Linked DNA regions of Nothobranchius furzeri. The protein of the gene in region 3 purifies or fractionates together with the protein of the main gene of each other region. This does not show direct contact. Links are inferred from orthologs where the notes say so. Each region holds a gene or a part of one and is shown on either strand. Other genes may lie near its edges.

Region 1 (7,184 bases), on a different chromosome or scaffold from region 3:
CACATTGGAGACAGGAACAAGCGCTATTCAGCCAAAGTTTAACCATCAGGAACATTTTCTAAGTGACACGTCTCTCTGAGAGACAGGGCTTGGACAACACTCGCTTCAGTGGGAGGAATCTTCCCGTATGGTTCTGCGATATGCTCCATGTCCGTCTCCACATCTTCAGCTTGCTGTGAAGAGCAGTGTCCAGCTCGGATGTTCTGATGGGAATCTTTTCTTGATTGATTTAGCTACCTCCGCGATGTGTGTTACAATTTAAATGTCAGCGCATCTGCACGCGTTGGGGTAATTCTTTCTATTCTATCTCCATCAAAATAAACAGTCAAATACAGTAAATATCTGGTCAAAACGAACCCTTTCATTTAACTACTCTTTCTTCTTATGAAGACTGCTGCAAACAAACAGCAAACAAGAGCCATGCGCCTTTATCTCCGTCACTGTAAATGAAGGAAAAAACTAATGGGTCGGATCGTTTTCAACATAACTATGTTGAAAACGATCCAAAATGTAAAGTTTGGTTCAGTGCAAAGTTTAATCATGATGGTTCTTTGAGCCGCTAAAATCACTGCGCTGAAAGGTCTGGTTGGTTCCCCATAGCATGGTCATTTAGCACGAGCTGTAAGCTTTGGATGAACTGAAAGCTCTGGCTGGAACTGGGAACGTAGGAAGTGATTCACTTTGAATGAATTGGTTGTTTATAAACTTTGACCTACCAGATCTGAGATGTGTGTCTAGGTGTTTACCTCGACGATCAGCCACTCAGAAGAGGCTGGTTCCACTTAATGTGAAATAAATCTGTTAAACATTCATTTATTAATACACTGATATTATTATGTGAATGTAACTGATCATTAATCATTATTAAATCATCAAGTAGACTCACTTAGTGTATTTAAGATCTGAAATAGGTCATGAAATAATAAACATGTATGTTGATTAATGAATTAATCTTTAAATCACATTAGATAGCACATTGATTGTAGATAACAGAGAATACGATTGTAAACATGTGGATTGAAAGAAATCTTTTTTTTTAGACCAAACTAAGAATCATTTTATTAAAAGGAGTAAAAGTCTCGTCTTCTGCATGGACCTTGGAGGTGCAGCTAAGATTAGGGAGTCAGGAGGAGGAACTTGTAATGGCTACCTTCTGGATGGTGCTGATGGTTCAGCATGGAATGATTTAGGTACAGGGAAGAACACAACGTTCCTAGCCGAGGAACGCTGCAGGACACCCGACTGTCTATTTGACCTCTGACATTTCTCTGGACAAATACCCTTGTTGGCTGTTTCCAGCGTTACACAACAATCCAACGAGCCTGGATTTGTATTCTGAACAGTTTAAACACGGTTCAAATAGAAACATGTGATGTGGTAAAACAAATCGGCACTTGCTCAACTATTTAAATCACTAACGATGAAAAATATCAAAGTATTGTAGGTACAGACAGGCTACAACTTCTGGATTCATTTTATACAAATAGTTTTATTAATTATCTTCTGTTAAAAGATAACTTTGACGTACATGAGTGGCAGCTTTTGGTTGCTGTCATCTTTTGTTATTGGTTAAAGTAAAACACCCAGGTTAGAAATCTTGGTGTTGTCATTGACTCGGACCTGAGCTTCTCTGGACACATTAAGGCTATAACTAAATCAGCGTTTATCACCTTCATCAAACATCGAGAGTCAGAGGTCTCGTGTCCAGACCAGACTTAGAGAAAATCATTCATGCTTTTATTTCTAGTGGGCTGGACTACTGCAATGGTCTCGTAACTGGTCGTCCCAAAAAAGCTGTGGAGCAACTGCAGCTTGTTCAGAACGCTGCTGCTAGAGTCTCAACAAGAACTGAGGCCCTGTCCACACGTAGCCGGGGATCTGCCAAAACGTAGATAGTTTTCTACGTTTTGGCCTGTCATCCACACGAAAACGGAGTTTTTTCACACGAAAACGGATCTTTTAAAAAACTCCGGCCAAAGTGAAGATCTGCGTTTTCTCCGTTTTGGGTGTCTGCGTGTGGACGGACAAAACCGGAGTTTTAAGGTCCGCAACGTCACTTTCCGCGACAAAAAAATGCTGACATCACGTGTGCGGCCTGTGTTTACACTAGCCGACAGCATGGATGCCCTCAGAGCTGCGCTCTGTCACTACCCGATCCATCAATTGTCCAAGCGCTTTCTGCTTGTTTGTTTTTGCAAGCGGAATTACTGCTCCTTGCGGAAGACCACAGACGAAGGACGAGGTTAAGAACGGGGGAAGTACTGCCGCCTACAGGTCTGGCATGTCCTTAACAACGTATTTATCCGGGTACGTGTGGACAGAGTTTGTTTTTTAAACGTGGTGGTGTGGATGCAAGTTTTTGGAGGGGCGGATATTCGTTTTTTAAAAACCCCGGCTACGTGTGGACTAGGCCTAAGAGAACTAAGCACATCACTCCTGTTCTTAGATCCCTACACTGGTTACCAGTGAACTACAGAATAGACCAAAGTGCTCCTACTAGTTTATAAATCACTCAATGGCATGGGACCAGAATACATGTCTGATCTCGTTCCTGTATAAACACCCAGCAGGGCTCTGAGAGGAAATGATCAGCTGGTAGAACCTCGGGTCAGAACCAAACAGGGAGGAGATGCATTTAGTTTCTATGCTGCTCACATATGGAATCAGCTGCCCCATGACCTCAGATCTGCCCCAGCCCTAGTGTTGTTTAAAACACAACTAAAACCCTCATCAGCCTTTACATGAATGGTTTCTTCTGCTGCGTCGTCTCCTCTGTAATCTGTGATGTCATTGCTCACCCTTAATCAGGGTATCTGCAGGTTTAAGGGAGCCAAATTTAAGACTTTTTAAGACCTTTTTTAAGGCCACTTAGACCAAATTTAAGCTCGTTGTCGTCTTCCTCCGCTTATCCAGGTCAGGGTCACGGGGGCAGCATACCAACTAGGGAGCACCAGATCGTGCTCTCCCCGGCCACCTCCACCAGTTCCTCCGGCAGGACTCCAAGGCGTTCCCGGACCAGATTGGTGAAATAACCTCTCCAACGTGTCCTGGGTCGACCTGGGGGCCTCCTGCCAGCAGGACATGCCCGAAACACCTCCCCAGGGAGGTGTCCAGGAGGCATCCTGACCAGATGCCCAAACCACCTCAACTGACTCCTTTCGATCCGGATCCAAATTTAAGCTATTTTTTAAATTAAATTTAAGCTATAATTTCCAGCTATTGCCTGGAACCGGTGCTAACCACGTCGCGAACGTGGGATTAACCATCCATTTACCATTAAACTTGCACTTCTCCATGGCGCAAGCTCCCACTAGCTTAACCAGCTAATGTGCTCATCTAAAAATAGTCCCTTTTCACAACCAACTGAATGTGTACGGTTCCGCTTACGCCAACATCATACACAAAAAATGCTGAAGACTAAATAGAAATTCACGAAAATGTCATAGAAATAAAATAATCTAGTTCATTGGGTCTTTGGTAATTTAAGACCTTTGGAAACTGTATTTAAGGATTATTTGTCATTTTTAAGGATTTTCAAGGCCTTAAATTTGGAAAAGGAAATTTAAGACTTTTTAAGGACCCGCGGATACCCTCTTAATTCTGTCTTTTCCTTTTAGCTCTAAATTATAATTTTGTCTGTATATATTTTTAATTTGTGTTCTCGTGTTTGTTGTTGTGCCATTTCATGATAACTGTAAAGCACTTTGGATTTCCCAGTGTTTGAAATGTGCTCTATAAGTAAAGCTACCTTGCCTACAGCAGCTTACGGAGGGCCTGAGTGCAGGTGGGTGGGCCCAGGCTCGGTAAGCCCACCCACAACGCTGCGGCTGCTGTGGCTTACTGTGGGAAATGGGTAACAATGGCTCTCTGATGGGAGAAGGTTGCTGACCCCTGGCATACGGCAAAGTGGAGTCAATAAAAACTTATATAGCTCCGTTCAGGGTCCCATGAGCCAACCAGAGGGGGCGGAGCCTTGGGCTAGCTCCTTAGAAGAGTTTTAGCAATATCCTACCTGGTGCAGTTTTGCAGCAGCTCTGTTGGAGAACAACACGGCTCTCTCTCGACTGAAACAAACAGGACATAAAGCCAACGCCTCTGTGTAGCTTAGCTCCGCTCCCCTCCAGTCTGCAGGAACAGAAACAGGATCATCCTGGTTTGTTGGACAAGACTAGAGCTGTTCTTAGCTTTGTGAGGGCCCTATGCAAGATGCCTTTCCGGGGCCCTTATCTTGCCAAACCAAAGTTAAACCACCACACATGAGCTTATTTATAAACACACCACAAATCAGTACAAGCAACATAGGGTTTTGTGGTACTGCAATAAACACAAACAACACAGGGTAGTCATGACAACCTCTCATACCAAAAGTAAACATCTCAAGTTTGGTCAAGCACGAGTATTACAACTAGAAAGTACAGTGGAGGTCTACACACACAGACATATACAGAGACACTGCACAATCTAGGGGTAACGATAGTAAGTGGTTACGTTTAATGAATGATCAAAAAGATGTGATATTCCATATAAATATGATTTATCATTATTATTGATCTTTTGACATTTAAGATAAAACCAGGTCTTTTGCATAGTTCAGGGAAACCACACCTTTGTAATCATTTGACACAGAAGCAAAAATTATAGTTTGTAGAAATCAATTTATTTCTATTTTTCTATCATCAATGATGATGAAAGGTAAATGATTATGAATGGTGATTCACAGTGATGTTAAATGAGACAATGAATGTGTCATACGGGCAAAGTCTGTTTTATTGTGGTTTTCCTTCTAGTGTGGTGTGTTTTTAGTGTGTATTCTTTTTTATTTAGTTTAGTGCATGGAATGCTTTTATTTTGGGGAACCCAGGAAACTGGGAGGGTGTGTGATTTTACTTTGATGAGCTTGGACAGATGACATCCGGACCGGAGCAATTATCTGCACCGGTGGCAGATTAGGAGCGTCTGTTTTTTGGTGGAGACGGTGGCAGAAAGCAGAGAATCGCCGGGTGAAAGGACACCGATCGTCTGTGACGAGGCTTCATGGAGATGTGGGCAGGGTATTCCTTTGCCCTGGCGTGTGAGTAGCGGCCCTGTGACAAGGTGTGACCCGCGGTGTGTGATCGAGCAGTGACTGCCGTTAAATTCACTGACAGGTGGACCCGCGACAGAGGAGGACGACAGCGTGGCGCGGTGACGCGGCCGAGCCAGTGACTGATCTGCAGGAGGAAGCGGCCGATCGAGGGAAACGGCGGTGCGGCAGACGCGCGTCTTGAAGGAGGAGGCGAGCTATCAGGGAAGAGGAAACCCGCGCGGCAGACAAGCGTCCCCAAGGAGGAGGAATCTGCCCCGCAGCGTCCAGATAAGGCTGCAGACTCTCCGGCCCAGTTCTGACAACCGTTTATAGTGACTGTCCTAACCTGGTTTTTTTAAATGATGTTTTAATTAGAATTTTCAATAAACCCCGGTGCGGTGGTTAATGGCTGATTCCTTTGATCTCTGGCAGACGCTCTCAATTTACCTGGTGTAATCCTTGGGTGGGATTTTGTATTTGGTAGATCTATAATATAGCCCACCCACCCGGTAGGAAGGTGCCACAAATGGACTCTGATGAAACATGACCTGGTGTGTTTTAGACTTTCTAAGTAACTCAGAAAGGTGTGATGTTTAACAGTTTATCAAATTAGTATTAAATAGATCTATAAGTTTGGGATGTAAGCAGGAAAAGGCCCGGCTGGTGCTGGAGCTGAGGGAGTCCGCAGACCCAACTGGTGAGAGCAGCTGGCCCCCAGATACGAACAAGGAGGAAGTGGCAAGACCCGGAAGAGGTTGATACAGCAATCAGCTGGTTGGAACGCCGTGAGGTGGTTGGCAGAGTCCAGGAGGGCGGGAAGGCCTCGGAAGTGGTGAGGCATTCCTCTTCTGGTCTAAGGCCTCCAAAGAAGACCGAAAAGCTATGGTGGTGGTGGAAATAACAAGGACGGAGCATGAGTGCCTTAACGTCAAAGCAGTGTCTCAGAGCCGGCAGGGAAGCTGGGAAGGCATCACAGACAGGCCCCTGTCATGGTCGGACATTTGAAAGTTCCCCAAGCCAGCCTGAGCTTACTGGTACCAGCGACTTATGGGCCATTGCCATCTGTACCGGGTCGGCCCGGGCCGGGTAGCCCCAGCCGGCCCCAGCCTGGCCCGGTTGATTCCACACATCCTTGCCTTAAGCCCATGTGGGCTGATTCTACCCACCAATCAGAGGCTTGCTCTAATGGAAGGTGTGAATTTGCTGTCAGCAGTGGGTGTGTTGGCCCTGGTCGGCCTGAAGCAGACCCCCTCGAGAAGAGGGCTGAGAATGAGCCTTGGTTGGCCCGGAAAAATACCAGGCCACCCAGATATGTAAACAACCTACGCTACCCGGCCCGGGCCGACCCGGTACAGATGGGAATGGCCCTCCCCTAAAGGATTATTAGGAACACCACACTAATACGGTGTTTGACCCCCTTTGGCCTTCAGAACTGCCTTAATTCTACGTGGCGATGACTCAACAAGGTGCTGAAAGCATTCTTTAGGAATGTTGGCCCACATTGATAGGATAGCATCTTGCAGTTGGAGATGTGTGGGGTGAACATCCAGGGCACGAAGCTCCCGTTCCACCGCATCCCAAAGATGCTGGAAGTAGCCATCAGAGGATGGGTACATGGTGGTCATGAAGGGATGGACACGGTCAGAAACAATGCTCAGGTAGCCCGTGGCATTTAAACAACGCCCAGTTGGCACTAAGGGGCCTAAAGTGTGCCAATAAAACATCCCCCACACCATGACACCACCACCACCAGCCTGCACAGTGGTAACAAGGCATGATGGATCCATGTTCTCATTCTGTCTACGCCAAATTCTGACTACCATCTGAATGTCTCAACAGAAATGGAGACTCGTCAGGCCAGGCAACATTTTTCCAGTCTTCAAATGTCCGGTTTAGGTGAGCTGGTGCAAGCTGTAGCCTCTTTTTCCTATTTGTAGTGGAGATGAGTGGTACCCGGTGGGGTCTTCTGCTGTTGTAGCCCATCCGCCTCAAGGTTGTGCGTGTTGAAGCTTCACAAATGCTTTGCTGCATTCCTCGGTTGTAACGAGGTTAGGCTCTTCTATCAGCTTGAATCAGTCGGCCCGTTCTCCTGTGACCTCTAGCATCAACAAGGCATTTT
Region 2 (7,697 bases), on a different chromosome or scaffold from region 3:
TCTGCTGTCTGGGTGAATAAACATACAAGAAAAGTAACATGAAAGCACTTCCAACATGGAGTGTTTTCAGAAACTTCATCAAAACAAACAAGAATAGATATAATTTTACTTTTTAAAAAAGTATCCCCTTAAAAACGTATGTAATACAAAAGTCCAAACACGTAATAATTACCTTGATCTTTGCAAAAAACTGGCGAAAGCAACCACGGGGGTCCAGTTTGAGGCTTTTGGCCAACTCAAGAATGAACTGCATAACGATGGTCTGATGAGCCACCTGTTCCATCAGAGCATGTTTCTGCAAAACGAAGAGGCACAGAGGCTCATGTTCTAATCAGACAGTGACCATGTAAGACATACAATAGTAGCACGAGATTTCTTTTAAGCTGTTTACCTCCTCAACTTCAAGGTCAATACACATGATGACAAGGTAGTTGGCAGTTTCTTCACATACAAGATGAGGATTGTCAGAGAGGTACTTCTGGCTGTCATCCCAGCGTCGCAGCATGCCTGAGGTTACCACAGCGACAAATCAGCATCTCTATTTTTACTGTCCTACTGATTTGCTCATTTTAATCATGGTTGTCAGGCGGGCTTACCAAAATGTTTGAGCTGCTTTTCGTTCTTCTCCACAAAAGTTTTATGTTTTTGCTCCTTCTCCTCTTCTGTCTCTTCAGAAGGGTCTGGTTTGACGTTAACAATGCTCTAATGAAGACAAACAAAACACCGTTAATAGATGACGACTGCATTCAAATGCATTTTATTGCATCGTTCTGTAAGTTAACGGCATGTTAGAATGTTGTATATAAGCTCTAAATATTCAAAAATAACACACTTCATATAAACCTTGATTATGTTTATTTACAATTAAAGGATGATTTTAGTTTGTATTTTCAGGAGATTGTATACAAGCTACTCCCAACAAAAAAATGACCAACATTCATGCTGAGCATCAAACTAGACTGATTTTAAACATGAAATTGGGGGAAAAAAATATTGCCATCAAACCGCTGAGACAACTATTGATTATAAATTGACAGGTCTGCCAACATTGATACCAGTGGATGCAAACCAATACTTTCTATTTCGCAGTAAGCTGTTGCCTGATCCTAGTCACCTTGCTGAAACCATCTCTGCTGAGTGTGTCCACGTTCCACGGCATCTTCTTCTCCTCTCTGTTGTATTCATCCAACTTCCTCTCCCAATCTCTCTCCTCCTTTTTCAATTTCTTCTCCTCAGCCTGGACTTTGCTCAGCTCTGCTTTGGCCTCACCCGACACATTTAGCTCTTGCAGTTTCTTTTGCGTCTCAGTCAGCTTGCGCCGACATTCTTTCAGGCTCTTGTTGATGTCTTCTCCTTTTTTCTGGAACTCTTCCATTCGATCCACACGTGCCTGAAATGGGATGATGCCAATCACAACTGGAGGTACAAAACTTTTACAATACACTTTGTTACAAGTTTTGTAGGCTTAGTAATTCACTACAGCTACATAAACAGGTTTGCTAGGAATTAGCATAGGGAGAATGTTGTTTGCAACACCAAACTGAGTCTAGGACGCCAGCTAACCAAAGTACCAGTCCGAAGTTAAAAGAAAATCAAAACTCAGTCACGTTATAAATCAAAAAGGTACCTGGTGTCTCCATCTGAAGAGGCTGGGTGTGTCAATGTTTGGGTGGGTATCATCTTCATCGTCCGAGACCTCAATGTGATCCCACACGCTGTAATCTATCCTGGACATCCTGTAAACCAGAACCTAGCTTGTTTTAAGAGTTCGATAATTTCAATTAAAACTCTCGGAAAAACAAATTCAACAACACTCTGACGCTTTCCAAAGTCTCCGAAAGATGTGTTAACTACCAACGGCGCATTAGACTGTAGTCTTATCAGAAGGGAAGGAGCTGGACTGTCTCAGCGACAGTTAGCCAAATGCTGCTACAAAATTCTAGAAAGATTCGCTGCTGCAAGCTTCCGCTACACGCCTAAACGTCATGACGTAAAAGGCACGTATGACGCAGGTGTTGTGGTAAAAAATGCACTCGTATGTGCCTGCGACCGTATGTTAAACTTACTAGAAAAACCAAGTTTTTCACAAACGCACCCCGTTAATAAACAAGTAAAGATGTATGAGTTAAAGTTCGGTTTCGAACAAAGTCTGTTTGACACAAATGCCTATACGAACAGAGGGGCTTTTTCCGGCACAACACCATGAGTTACAAAAGTGAACTGAACAGATTTCCTTCATTTCTTTCTTCGTATTTTTACTGTAGTTACTCAGATTTCTAAACAACCGAAATATCGTTTCCACTATATAGATACCATTTGTGTAGCCTACATAAAAACCATAATGTCTGATCGTGTACCAATCCATCCTTATCCTCATATTATTGCATATAGTTAAACCTGGTTAGCAGCAGATTAGTCAGAATGTTAGTCTGTTGTACAGATTATAAAAGTATTTACATCACAACTATTTTTGTAGTTTCTTTACAAGACGTGACTTCTTTTTCTCCACATTTGTGCTTTGACTTTCTTTTATTTATTAACTTATTATTGTATGCTAAACTGAAAGTACTATAAAATATCAAGTATCTTACACAATTATTTTTCAGCTAATCTAAACATTTCTGTAAAACTTAAAAAAGCAAACTGTTTTTCTCTACCGAATAAAACTATCTTCTTGGACTTTTCCCCCTTGTCAAACATCCACAGACTGAGGCTGTTTTCTCAGCGAGACATCTTACCTTCTTTACTGGACCAAGAACAGAGGCTGAGAGGTCTTGATGATGGTATAGTGTTCAGCTTTTTTTTTTTTTTTTTTTTTCATTTTATTTTTTGTTATTCTTTGGATGGAAAAACCACAAGTAAATGTTTAGATATAAACTAGCAAACGCTTCTCAAGAAACAATAATTAGAGCTGACCCTGAAAGCTGACTGGAGATCCAAACAAGCCAGTATTCAGTATGGCGTCTTAACCAGTGATCATCCAAATACCAAAAATCTGATTGATTTTTCATTAAACATAAACAGCCCAAAATAGTAGTATCAGCTCAGCAGGTCAGGGTTGAAAAAGAAATCTGCATGTTGGCCCTTAAATCCAGAATCAGCTCATCTCTGGAATTGTTAAATTTTCTCTTGTTTCGTTTGCTTTCAGCCCTTCATCCACCCAACATGGACATTCTTATAAGTGCCAGTAAGCATTTTGTTGGACACATTCAATTAGAATAAATCTAAATGATTTCAAGAGTTTGAAACTGGTAATCTCAATGTTTGCACTGTGAAGATGGAACCTCGACGTGATCAATAATTTATTAATGGATGACTTTTGCAATGAATTTTAGTATTTTGTTAGCAATGGTCAGTTTTAAAATAGTATGTGTAATAATAATAGAATAATTGCTCTCTTTATCAATCTGTTTAGGAAGCTTCTAAAGAAGTAATGACTGAAGGATGAAAGTTGGTGTTAGGATGGTGTAATATGGAACATATTATTGCCACACATGAGATTGTTTTTAGAAATTAAATGTTTCTGAAAATACTTACAGTGTGTTCTATATGTGCATTACTCACAAGCATGATGATAAAAAAACCTATTTTTACAGACCTGAACAGGGACATGAAAACACACACAAATAGACAAAAATATAGATCAGTTAAATGTTTTACCTGGTGATCGTGAATCGTCACGTTTACATTAACCCAGAGCTCTGAGCAGAATAAACACGAGGAGAGCTGGGACCACTTTAATATAAATATCAGGAGTTTAGTTTGGGTCTGCCACCAGAATCACAGTCAAGATGTCTACTATCAGTCTTTTAATGTATTTGTTTCTGTAAGCAAGCATATTTATAACAGTCTCACGCATGGACGTAATTTTCACTTTAGAAGTGGGGGGGACACGGGTGTGTGTGTGTGTGGGGGGGGGGGGGGGTATCTTTACAGTATGCTCTAATGGGAAACAGGCTTCAACACAAACAGTTGTTTTCCACTTGGTCCTAGAGCTCAACCAGTGTGAATTTAATATAGCGTAAAATTGTTTTTGGATGGTAAAAAGTGCAGGGGTCAAAACTTGACTTTGGAAAAAGTGGGGGGGACATGTCCCCCTGACCCCCCCCCCCCCCCCCCCCAAAATTACGTCCATGGTCTCACGTGATCTTCAGCTCACTGGCATGCAAAGATTCGATCATTTTAACACGATCAGAGGGCGGTGGACATAACCTGGTTGTAGTTAATCACACTGCCAGGGAGGAGTGTTATCTTAAAGCTTTACACGTTTACACGTCCAGTGTTAAGTTTAGTGTGTACTTTTATGATAATTATTATGATACATGTAATAATGAATACATTCCAACGGTAAATGCCAAACACACTGACATTTGATTGAGATGTTTTTATGCGTTGCTCTTGTTCCCCGTTGGTTTGGACTCCCTAAACCCGGAGCAGCAGATGGATTTCCCGGCCTGAGCTTCACAGCACCGCCGCATCTCTCGGATCACATTCTCACACAAACTCTCCGAGTAGTTGTTGGCTGCAGGAGTGGAACGGAGTTATGTGACTGTGGGGTTCGCCCGCTGTCTAGCAGCATTTTCATCTACATTTAATGTACCTTGCAGACACTTTTGAATAGCACATGCCTGTTTTTGACACGGATCTTTCTCCGGCATGCCTGAAAGAAAACGCAGCAATAGTGTAATCAAATTTTAAAGCATCAGGATACCCAAAAGGAGCTAAAAGCCGATTCCCACCTGGACGTCTTAGCTAGTGCGATGCATTCTCCTCTCGCGAGAGTGATCATGTGACGCAACGAGATCTAATCAAATCCGGACAATGAACAACAGCGACCTCTGGTGTTGCAAAGGAATTTGACAACGTCGCCTTGAAAACCTAAATGTAATTCCAAAATGTTTTGCAGTAACCGAACATAAAATGTATTTATAGAATAATTTTGAATATTTTTTTCATTAACTAACCTTCAGAAAGTATAAATTTACATTTTAAAGAAGCCATAATCTTTTGGTGGGAGGTATTTTTCACAAGTACGGAAATTTTGTTTATTTATTTACATTACTCAGAACTGGCACTAATAACTATCAAAATACACGTTTAAAAATCAAACCATAAAAAGAATTTTTTGTTTATTTAACTTTATTTATAAAGATAAGAACATTTAGAAACAGTTCATATTTACAGTAACTTCACATTGTTAGTCATTGGCGTATCAAGGGTAGTTATACTTTGTCAAATTATGATTTTCTTTACTTATTAGATCATTAAAAATATTCTAGTACATATATAATAAGGGAAATTTTATTACATAAAACAACAACAGTAGACTACGACAAAAATCAACCTTCACATAATAAATGGCGTTTGCTAAACATCTTCATTTGTCTTCTTTGTGAGATCTAACTCTGTATGATAACAGAATACATCAAAACATCCACTGATTACTGAATGCTTCCATCTCATGAGGCAGCAGCAATAAAACCTGCTCAGTGAAATTCTTCCAGCTGATTCAAGTCCTGTTAGTGGGCCTTAAACACCTGAACAACAGAAAACAAATTAGGATGCAGAGTTTTACTTGCAGATGTAGTTCCTCATACTTCCCCTTTACCTTTGGTCTTTGCTTTGACAATGAACTGTTTGCTCTTCTTTTCCAGCGTGTTTGAGGCAGCACAGGTGTATGTCCCAGGGAGAAGGGAGGAGGAGGTGATGACTGCTTCCTCCTTCACCCGCTCCTCTATGGGATGGGAGGATTGCCAGCTGTAGGCAGGAGCAGGGTTTCCTGCAGCTGTGCAGTTTAGGGTGATCCCATCACCCTCGGTAAGTTCTAAAACTTCTGTTTCAGGACTGAAAAAAGTTGGGGGAACTAAAAAAAAAAAAGAATGACAGACTTTACGTTTCATTATTGGGACATTTTAGGAGTGAAAGTAGCTTCATAACTCACAGAGGACATAGGCAGTGAGAGGTTCTGAAGACACTGTTGGAGGTGGTTGAGGTCCTTCTGGTCCAAGCTCCAGTTCTGCTACACACTTATACTCTGCCTCGTTCTCAGCTTTGGTTGGTGTGATGACAAGAGTAGAAGACACTTGGACAGGAGAGGAAGATGTGAGGTCAGAGAAGGAGTGTTTGTACACCTCTGTCTGACCTCTGTACCACCTCAGGGTGAGATACTGAACAGGAGCAACGTTCTGAACCTCACAGAGGAGCTGGTACTCCTTCCCCTCCATCATGGGGCCGGTGTGGTTCACCAACCTGATGGAAACACTGTCGGGAGATTCTGAAATGAAGGGGATCAAAAGTTCAGCTCAAACATTCAGCTCTGTCATGAAATTTAAAAATGAGAGGGACTGACTCACTATAGAGAACGAGGTTGAGTTTCTCCTCACACTGTCTCGGAGCTTTGAAAAACACCCCATAGCAGATGGGTTCCTCGATCCAGTCGATAAGACTGTCCACTTTCCACTGGACAGACTGGTCCTCCTGTGTGTGTGGCGTTCCGATGGCCGATTCCCAGCCCAGGACCCGAACCGGGCGTGTAGCTTCACAGCTGACCGACACCGACTCCCCAAACCCCACCACCACCCTGGAGGGCTTGAGAATGAGGGAGCAACCTTCACCTGACACTGAGGCACACGGGGACTCGTGAGCAAGGATTGGTATGGCTAAGCCAGTCAGAGATGCAATAAAACAACTTTTCACTGTTCAGATCAAGCCTGTTCAGTAGCAAAATGACTCATAACCAAACATGTTATGGTGTTCAGATTTTAATCCACAACATGCTAAAATAATCTAAAGTACTTCCCTCTGAAGTTGCAGCTCATTATGGATCCTTTAGTCCACAGATCAGTTTAAAAGTTTCTGAACCCAAATAAATAAAACACCTCATCTTACCTGAACAAAGCAGGCAGGAAATGATAATCCACGCTAGAACGTTCTTTCCCATGGTATTTGTTTAGCACCGAGCCGTCGAAAGAAAGAAAATTCCAACTTGAACAACCTTGGCAACTCTGCAGGGAACGTGGAACAAAACACGGTTCCCTCCCAGCTGACTTAGGGGATGGAGGGGAGGACTGGGAAAGAGGGACATTTAACACAGCCCATTACTTCCCCTTCTGAGATGTTTAGGGATTAAATCAAAAGCTTATAATCGCCTCTGCAAATTTACAACTAGAATATCTGAGATCTTACAGAAAAATCAGCAAACGCTTTGAATATAAGCCGTTGGGATTAACAGAACTCCAGCTTAATGTAAATCTGAATTCCTGACATTCATGTCAAGTAGATTCTTGCCATCAAGGTGGTTTTTATAAAAGCTGGACGACAGACTGGATCTCTTTGCTTTGCAGCTTGTTTCATCCTGCCTCTGGCCTCCACGCTGCTGGACCCCAGCAGGCTGGAGCGCTGCTCTGGTGCTGCATGCAGCTTGTGAGGCTCACACTGTGACCAGAATGCAGCACAGCGCATCGCCTCAGGCCACAACAGTCGCACAAGAAGGCGAGAAATCACATGCTTTTTTAGGGTGTATTTCTGGAGAGGACAGCTGGGAATCTCCACAACCACATTCTCACTTTACTTGCAGCTTTAAATATGCCTCAACACGTTCTGTGGACAAACATGTCTGCAGGAAAACCTTTATCTTTCAAGTCTATGACTAATTGAGCCTTTTCCCATCTGCCAGGTTTCTATGGCAACACCAGAAA
Region 3 (7,949 bases):
CAAGCAAGACAAATGGAACCCTCATTTCTGAGATGAATAAAGAATAAATGAACACCCTATTGGAATAAACGTGCTATGCTCCACATCCGTTGCAGCAAACCCAGTTCCAAACAACGGATGATTCAATTCCTTTCTTAGGAACAAACTTCCCCCACTTTCACCAGTGGCCATGGAGTCACTTGCTGTTGTTGTTTCGTGTACGTGCTGTGACGTTGTTGTCATGGTTATGTAAAACTAACGCTACGGAAGCTCCCGGGGGCCAAAAAGGCATTATTACATACATTTTTTGTAATCGCCCGCAACAAAATTGTCATATTAATTCATTAAATCAATTTATCGCCCATTTTAAACCCATTTACTTTTACTTGAGTGTAAACTAGTAAACGTCTGTGGAAAAGCATCTGAGTATGTGGAAGATTCGCCCCTCACATTTTTTCCCACTTTTGATATTATTTGTCAGATCAGAAAACACAACCTCTTCTGATTATAAGGGCCCAGTCCATAGGTTAATCTCTGGACGTAATAAAAGTGTAAAGAATATACCATCTATATTCCGCTACATTTATATTCATATTTGTTTTAATTTTAAAAGGATTAGTTTGTTATTAAGGGAAATAAACCCGCTCTAAGTGGAAAAAAAATAACCCTAAACTTTTATCTTCTCAAAAATCTTGGAGAATCAACCTTTTTTTTTCTGGTAAATATGTGATGGTCTTGTATTCTTTTTACCTCTCCTCATCTTTCTTATGGTAGAATAGAATCATGACCTCTGGCCTTAACCAGAATCAGGTGAGGTCTGCTTTTTTAGAAGTGATGAGTTGCTTTTTGAAATCTTTTAGCCTCCTTCGTGAAGATTTCCTTATTTTCCAGGCCTGGGTGTGGCTCGGGCTTTCCAAGTAGCGGTTAATCTCAGTTAATTCACAATCTACCAAGTGGAACAATTACTGTTAACAAAGAGCCCAATCAGTTTGGATAGCTCTTTATGCTTGATAAATTAAACCATCATCTGAAAACTGAATTTTGTAATTACTCTTGTTACATGTATTTATTTATTTATCTTATATTTTTCTTCCCAGGAGGATAAACTGCTTGAGATGTGGCATCTCGTTTTCGAGCAGGTCCTCCTACCATACAACAAGTAAAGAATAAGAAGGCAAAGTCGTTAAACCATAACAAACTAAGAGAGAAAATAAATAAATAAAAATAATAATAACACTTGCTGTGGCTTACCCCATGTATCTGTAGGCATACTTGTATCATTAACAAATAAAAATTTAATAATAGAAAAACAACATAAATTGAGTGCAGCTACGATATTAAACACAATAGGCAATACAATTACAAGTTGGCTTCACATGCTCATAAATGAAATTACAAAATAAACGAAAAGATGAAATAGATCTTAAGTTAGCAGGTAATGTATTCCAGTCCCGAGGAGCTTTAACACAGAAGGCATATCTCCCAACTTCTTTTTTAACCCGAGGTATAACAAATGAGGGATGCTCACTAAAACGGGTAAAATACAAAGCGTTGATAGGTACTAACAAGACTTTCAAATAAGATGGAAAATCAAAATGAATACAGTTCAAAACAATTGATAGATGTATATAATGTTCTTAAGCACCGGTTAACCTTGTGACAAATCGTTTGAATATGATATCTGAAGGACGGCTCCGGCTTCAACCAAACACCTAAATATTTTATTTTGTCAGATGTGTATACAAGAGAGGAATCTATAAAATGTAGTTTGAGAGTCCAATCAGCACCAGATTTAATAGCACTTCTACTAAAAAGAATGGAGTAGGATTTAGATTTATCTAAAATAAGTTTATTTTGGACTAACCAGTTCTGCACTATGTTAAAATTAGACAGAAGAATTTCCTGTGTTTCCACTTTACTCGGCTTAGAGCAGTATAATACAGTATCATCAGCGTACATGTGAAAAGAACAAGAGGTACAACACAGTGGCAAATCATTAATAAAAATAGATTATAATAATAATAATGGCCCCAATGAAGAGCCTTGCGGAACACCCCTAAAGACACCTCGCGGATTTGATTCAAACCTATTAAAAGAGACAAATTGAGATTGATTAGGAAGAAAAGAGTTAAATCACAATAATGATAACCTTGAGAGTCCAATGGCAAACAAGTTGTCTAAAAGCAAATAATGGTCAACTAAATCAAAGGCTTTTGTTAAATCAAGAAAGATAGCTCCTGCAATTAAATTAATATCAAAACCTGAATAAATGTCATTGGTAAATTTAAGCAAGGCAGTTGTTGTAAAGAAATATTTTCTAAATCCTGATTGGCATTGAGATAATAGATTATTAGTATCCAAATAATTTGATAATTGATTAAATACAAATTTTTCTAAAACTTTTACCACTGTGTTAACTGTCGCAATAAGTCTGTAATTATTAAGTTCAAAAGTATCATTCCCTTTATGCAGTGGAATGATTTTAGTACATTTCCAATCTATCAGGACAGAACACGAGTTGATAGAAAGATTAAAAATAATTGACAAAGGAAGGGCCAGAGCATCAGCAGCAATTCTAAAAAAAATCGACCTTCAATACCATCGGGACCAGCTGAATTGCCTGATGAAAGAGTCTTTAACACTTTCAAAACCTCATTTGGGTGAATTTCAGAAAAGGAAAAACGGCTTGAGCAGCGATGAGGCAAAGTGTAAGAACCCAGTTGAACTGAAGAGTTAGGTAAAGGAGATAAAGCACAATGTTTACTAAAGGCCTCAGCAATTACATCCGGATCACTAGAAACGCTACCATTAATTTTCATATTATTAGTTTTAGCTTTAGTCTTCCCACGTAATTCATTTATTTTATTCCAGAAATGCATAGGATTGTTAAAGTCCTTATGTAAATAGTTTTTGTAATAATTAGCCTTAGCATTTCTTGTCTGTGTAGTACAAATGTTTCTTAGTTTTTTTATATTCAGACCAATGATCAGGAAGATTAGTGCGTTTAGCTAGTTTCCAGGCTCTATCACACTTCTTTAAAAAAGCAATTAATTCTTGAGAGACCCAAGACAAATGACTGCCCTTAACTTTTACACTGACCCAAGGAGCATGTTAATCAAGAACCTGCAGAAACTCAAAACGAAAACATTTCCAGGCATTGTCAACATCTGGTATTAAAGACAATCTGTCCCAGTTTAGCGATCTTAACTCCTGCAAATAGTGATCAGTATTAAAAACATGCAAATCACGAATTTTAATAATCTTCGAAGGTGTATGTGGAATAGTTATTTTCCAAAAGCAATAAATAATAGAATGATCACTAAAACAGTTGGCAAGAACCCCAAAGTCACAAAATCTATACGGGTGTGTAACTAAAATCCAGTCAATTAGGGAAAACATTTGATGTTGGAAACATTAAAGTGTGATTAAAATAAAGGTAAACTAAGCAGAAATCTAGCATGCAGCTGTGCGTGGAGCAGTGACCTGAGAACGTCTCCTCTATGGAAATCATTAAACCTCAGCTCACAGGGACAAAGTTCTCTCAGACCATCCAGCAGGCAAATAAACGGAAAATAGCGCAGAAAGCTGTCTGCTGCAGGGGTTACGAGCTGTATCCTGGGTAGATGGGATGCACAAAGACTGAATGTTCTGTGCTCGTCCACACTAATAATAATAAAAGCCAACATGTATTATTTTTTAAAATACTAAGTCAAGTCTGGTCAGGCCAGACCCGTGCCAAAAGCTTCTAACCCGAGATTACTTACTGGAAGCAGGCGTTGTGCCAGGTATCCTGGAGGACCTTCATGTGAAACGAGTCTTGGATTTTTCCTCCACAACCCGCACAGAAACAATTATCTGAAAACACACATCAGTCTTCATTAACCTAGACCAAAATTATATATATATATATATATATATATATATATATATATATATATATATATATATATATAGTGTTTAAAATTCCTCCCAGTGACTGAACTAAGATATAAAACAGAACATTTTATCATAAAGTCAAGTAAAAGCTAAAACACGTCTCACCTTCTGGCTCCTCCATCTATTCTCCAAGAGCGTCGTCGTGATTTGTTTATTGTAACTTTTTTGGGGGGGAGGGGGGGGTTCTTCTAGAAACCTCTCATTCTGAAGCTTCGAGCTTCCAGTTTTCAAAAACCTCCCTGCTCTTTGTTACACGGAGAAGAAAACTGGAATTCCTTAAAATCTCGACACAACAAAACGAACCGCGGCTGCAGCTGAGAGACTGAGCAGCAGCCTTCCCACCGCTGGTGACGTAATGCAGCGGACACATTCCAGTACGGAAAGCGGAAAGGCTCAAACGCACCTGGAAGCAGGACAAAAAAAGCCAAAACGGAGCGGTACTCGCGCCATCTACTGGCGGAGTGATTATACTACACTAGCAGCGATTCCAAATTGCTGTGTGCTCTGAAAAACAAAGCATGTACGTGACAATTGTAATTCAGTCTGGCAGCACAAACATACAAACAAACATAATAAGTTTTATCTTCATAATTAAAGAGAACAGTTCCTGTTTTCATTGTGTTTTCTCTTCCTACACGCTTGTTTTTAAGGTCTTGTGAGCTAAATAAAGTAAAGAAATGTTGATTAAACTCACCCTTATCCTATCAAGTTAAATTTTGGCCTTTTTGTTATTCTTACTTTTTGCAGTGTACACCGGATAAAAACACGAGAGCCTAAACTGTCTTTTTTTTATTTGACTTCACAGACAGATTCATTGGACCTTTTGTATTTTGATTTAAATGACTGTGACCCCAGGCTTTTATTTTGGAAAGAATGCGCTCCGTTGCAGATGTTCCACCAGACTGAGTCAGACTAAATCAAAGAGGTTTTGCACCTGACTGTGGTCAGTGGCTATTAAAGATGGTCAGATTAGCAACCTTTCCCCTAAAGCTCAGTATGATTGACAGATCACCTCTAACCAATTGATCCATTTATTATAAGAACATCTTCTTATAATAGTCTGCAATGGAGGTGGGATCTGAGAACCCAAAGTCACTTTCTGAAGACAAAGATTGTGTTTTGCAACCTTTAGATGGCAAAGTGATTCCTGACAGCATCACAGAGCCAGAGGGTCAGAGACCCACCTGGAGGGGGCAGATGGAGTTCATCCTGGCCTCGGTGGGATACGCGGTTGGACTGGGAAGCGTCTGGAGGTTTTTCTTACCTCTGCTACAACAGCAGTGAAGGTGAGACTGTCAAAGATCAGAGGAATCGTAGTCAGACAGACTGAAAGCAACATAAACCTTCTGTTCGTGCATCTCAATAATGAAAAAATTAAAAAGCTGCAACCATCCTTCAATGTTTTCTGGGGGTTTAGGAAAACTTGGGTACCACGCTCTGGTGTCTTGACCTGTTGCAACACATAAAACCCATTATGGTTCCCAATAGCCTAAATATATACAAATACAAAAAGGTAGCAAACAAACATAAACAATAGAAATGCAAATATGTGGACAAATACAATGTCCTGTGAAATCTATTGAAAACTATTTCAGAGCTTGTTTTCCATCTAAGTTTTCAAACTCAGTATAATTGGAAATAGTGCATTCTGGAAAGAAAAGATGAAACATGAGTACATGCATTTGGTGAAAAACAGACTGAAGAAAAATGAAAAGGTTTTCCTTAGCCTCTTACTGATTAAGACACTTTTTTAAAAATAAAAACAACGTCCACAAAAGTGGGCAAGTTTTTAAAATGCAAGAAAAAGTTAAATCTGCCAGTTATTAATTCTTGGTTTAAAAACAGAAGGAAGTGTTTTTTCAGTATTTTTACTGATCAACGCTGGAAAAAAATGCTTAACAAATCATGAATTTACAGTTAAGGGAGAAAAGACAATGTTGGAAAATTTGAAAGGCAACTCAAGGGTGAAACTTTCTCAGTGTTTAGGAGCCTTTATTGTCCCTTACCTCATCATGGTGTTCCTGTGTGGTATTCCTCTGTTCTTTATGGAGTTCGCTGTTGGACAGTATCATTTAGGACCGGTGCACTTTATTGCTAAAATCTGCCCCCTGCTAAAAGGTGAGTGGCTCTGAAGTCAACAAACATAACTCTGACCAAATCAAACAAGAGTCCAGCCATCAAAAGTCACCAATAAAAGGAATAACCTGAAGATGATTTTACCCAAAGTTTCTCCATTCATTTTCCTTTGCTCATCCGGGGTCTGATCTCGGGGACAGCAGCGTAAGCAGAGAGGCTCAGACTTCCCTCTCCCCAGCCACTTGGGCCAGTTCCTCTGGGGGAATCCCAAGGTGTTCCCTGGCCAGCCAAAAAACAGTCACTCCAGTGTGTCCTGGGTCTTCCATTGTCTCCTCCTTGTTGGACATGCCTGGAAAACCTCACCAGGGAGGCACCTAGAGGCATCCTAACCAGATGCCGAGACACTTCAACTGGCTTCTCTCAATATGCTTATTTGATGTAAGTGGTAATGGTGTCCATTCTTCCTAATATTTCCAGTTACAAGCTCCTGCAGAAGACCAGAGGCATTGAGGAAACGGGGGGTCTTCGCTGGGAATTGTTTGGAAGAAGGAATTCTTTTAGCCTGGGTCATCGTTTATTTGTGTATATTCAAAGGAGCCATATCAACTGGGAAGGTTATAACAGTATACAGTATCGGTCTCAGGATTATTCTTGTCTACACTGACAGCTCACACACCAATTGTCGACTTTTGTTTCCTTGTTATTTGTAGGTTGTGTACTTCACTGCAGTTTTCCCGTACTTCGTTCTGATCGCCCTGCTTTTCAATAATATGCTGCTGCCTGGAGCCAAGGAGGGCATCCTTTATTTTGTGACACCTGTTTGGAGCAAACAGTTTGAGGAGAAGGTGAGAATTGCTTAATAAAAGAGCAACATTTTTAAAAAGTTGTACACACACACACACACACTCATGAGAGGAGGGCGCTAGCACAGATCCGAGTATCCACAGACTCACGACTCTCTCTGAACATTCACATCCGCATTGAGTTTAGGCAACACATTCTCACACCTGAAGCATTGACAAATGAAGCTGGGTGACTAAGCGTTTGTGTTCGACGCGTTGGGAGTCCCATTGCGTCGGGAGGCGACGCGCTGTGCCAGAGCGTTGTTTTCCGACTGCCGAGGTAAAATGGGGATTTCACCAAATTCTGACCTTTACCCTCTTGTGCCTTAAAAACTTTGTTTCTAGTTTTAACGCCCCTCTCCAACACGGTTAACGAGAAGTTTGGAATGAGCAACAGGGTTAAGGTTAGGTTGGGGGTGAGGGGAAGGTTAAGTAGCAAGAGGTTAGAGGTTAGATGTCGGCGAAATGTGCGTTTTACCGCGGGCGTCGGAAACAAACACTTGGCCACCCAGCGTCATTTGTTGACACTTCGGGTGAGAGAATGTGTTGGTTTAGGAGGACATCAGAGTTAGCAAACAAAAAATCAAACCCATCTCAGGCTAAAACAAGGGAGTGATTGGGGCATCAGCACAGGTCTGGGCCTTCCTTTGCTTCTTCTTCTTTAAAATTGGCAGGTTGGATGCCAGTAAGGCATATTGTTGCCACAGCAACATCAACACAATGAATTTCCTGGGTTACAGTCTCTGGTACACCTCTATTTGCAGGAAGCCCAGCAGTGCCCTCACCCTACGCCAGTCCTCCACTCCAAAAAGGTCCTCAAACAGAACACGTCACACCAGCAGTCCCCAAGACTTTGAACAAAGCACTTCTCTCTGCAGCATACCTCCTGCAGTGCACGAGGACGTGACCCATCGTTTCCAGAGTCACAGTTATAATCCGAGTGCCTCCCAACCTAAACCAACCCGCCCCAAAGACTATGACCCAACCTTAACCGGGTCAAGACCCCAGAATCCCTCCTACCACAAGCGAACCCCATTCATGTTAGACCCTACAGTAACCCTTTCATCCGAGGAAGCCTGCCACAACCTCACAACCCCCCAATCGAGCTCAGAGAAA

What was found.
Region 1: the proteins of limk2 (region 3) and ttc1 purify together in Homo sapiens (affinity purification with mass spectrometry; 3 studies listed by BioGRID and IntAct, counting the BioPlex papers as one, with this or other methods). This does not show direct contact. The link is inferred for Nothobranchius furzeri from reciprocal best matches to the Homo sapiens genes LIMK2 and TTC1.
Region 2: the proteins of limk2 (region 3) and cdc37 purify together in Homo sapiens (affinity purification with mass spectrometry; 3 studies listed by BioGRID and IntAct, with this or other methods). This does not show direct contact. The link is inferred for Nothobranchius furzeri from reciprocal best matches to the Homo sapiens genes LIMK2 and CDC37.

Annotation. Positions count from the first base shown.
Region 1 is NC_091750.1:27,430,752-27,437,935, reverse strand, and holds part of ttc1 (tetratricopeptide repeat protein 1), read right to left. Parts: intron 4,126-7,184; coding exon 4,013-4,125; intron 1-4,012.
Region 2 is NC_091745.1:3,427,163-3,434,859, reverse strand, and holds the start of cdc37 (hsp90 co-chaperone Cdc37), read right to left. Parts: upstream 4,386-7,697; 5' UTR 4,371-4,385; coding exon 4,369-4,370; exon of another isoform or gene 4,363-4,368; intron 3,599-4,362; exon of another isoform or gene 3,538-3,598; intron 1,979-3,537; exon of another isoform or gene 1,737-1,978; coding exon 1,628-1,736; intron 1,391-1,627; coding exon 1,115-1,390; intron 703-1,114; coding exon 597-702; intron 508-596; coding exon 392-507; intron 296-391; coding exon 173-295; intron 9-172; coding exon 1-8. Other genes in the region: cmc4 (cx9C motif-containing protein 4), read right to left, coding at 4,386-4,522, 4,601-4,658; uncharacterized protein, read right to left, coding at 5,530-5,537, 5,609-5,863, 5,942-6,274, 6,354-6,620, 6,889-6,945, 6,995-7,067, 7,324-7,524, 7,571-7,615. UniProt on the Homo sapiens protein: Co-chaperone that binds to numerous kinases and promotes their interaction with the Hsp90 complex, resulting in stabilization and promotion of their activity. Inhibits HSP90AA1 ATPase activity.
Region 3 is NC_091757.1:45,913,219-45,921,167, reverse strand, and holds the start of limk2 (LIM domain kinase 2), read right to left. Parts: upstream 4,204-7,949; 5' UTR 4,037-4,203; coding exon 4,021-4,036; intron 3,835-4,020; coding exon 3,744-3,834; intron 1-3,743. UniProt on the Homo sapiens protein: Serine/threonine-protein kinase that plays an essential role in the regulation of actin filament dynamics. Acts downstream of several Rho family GTPase signal transduction pathways.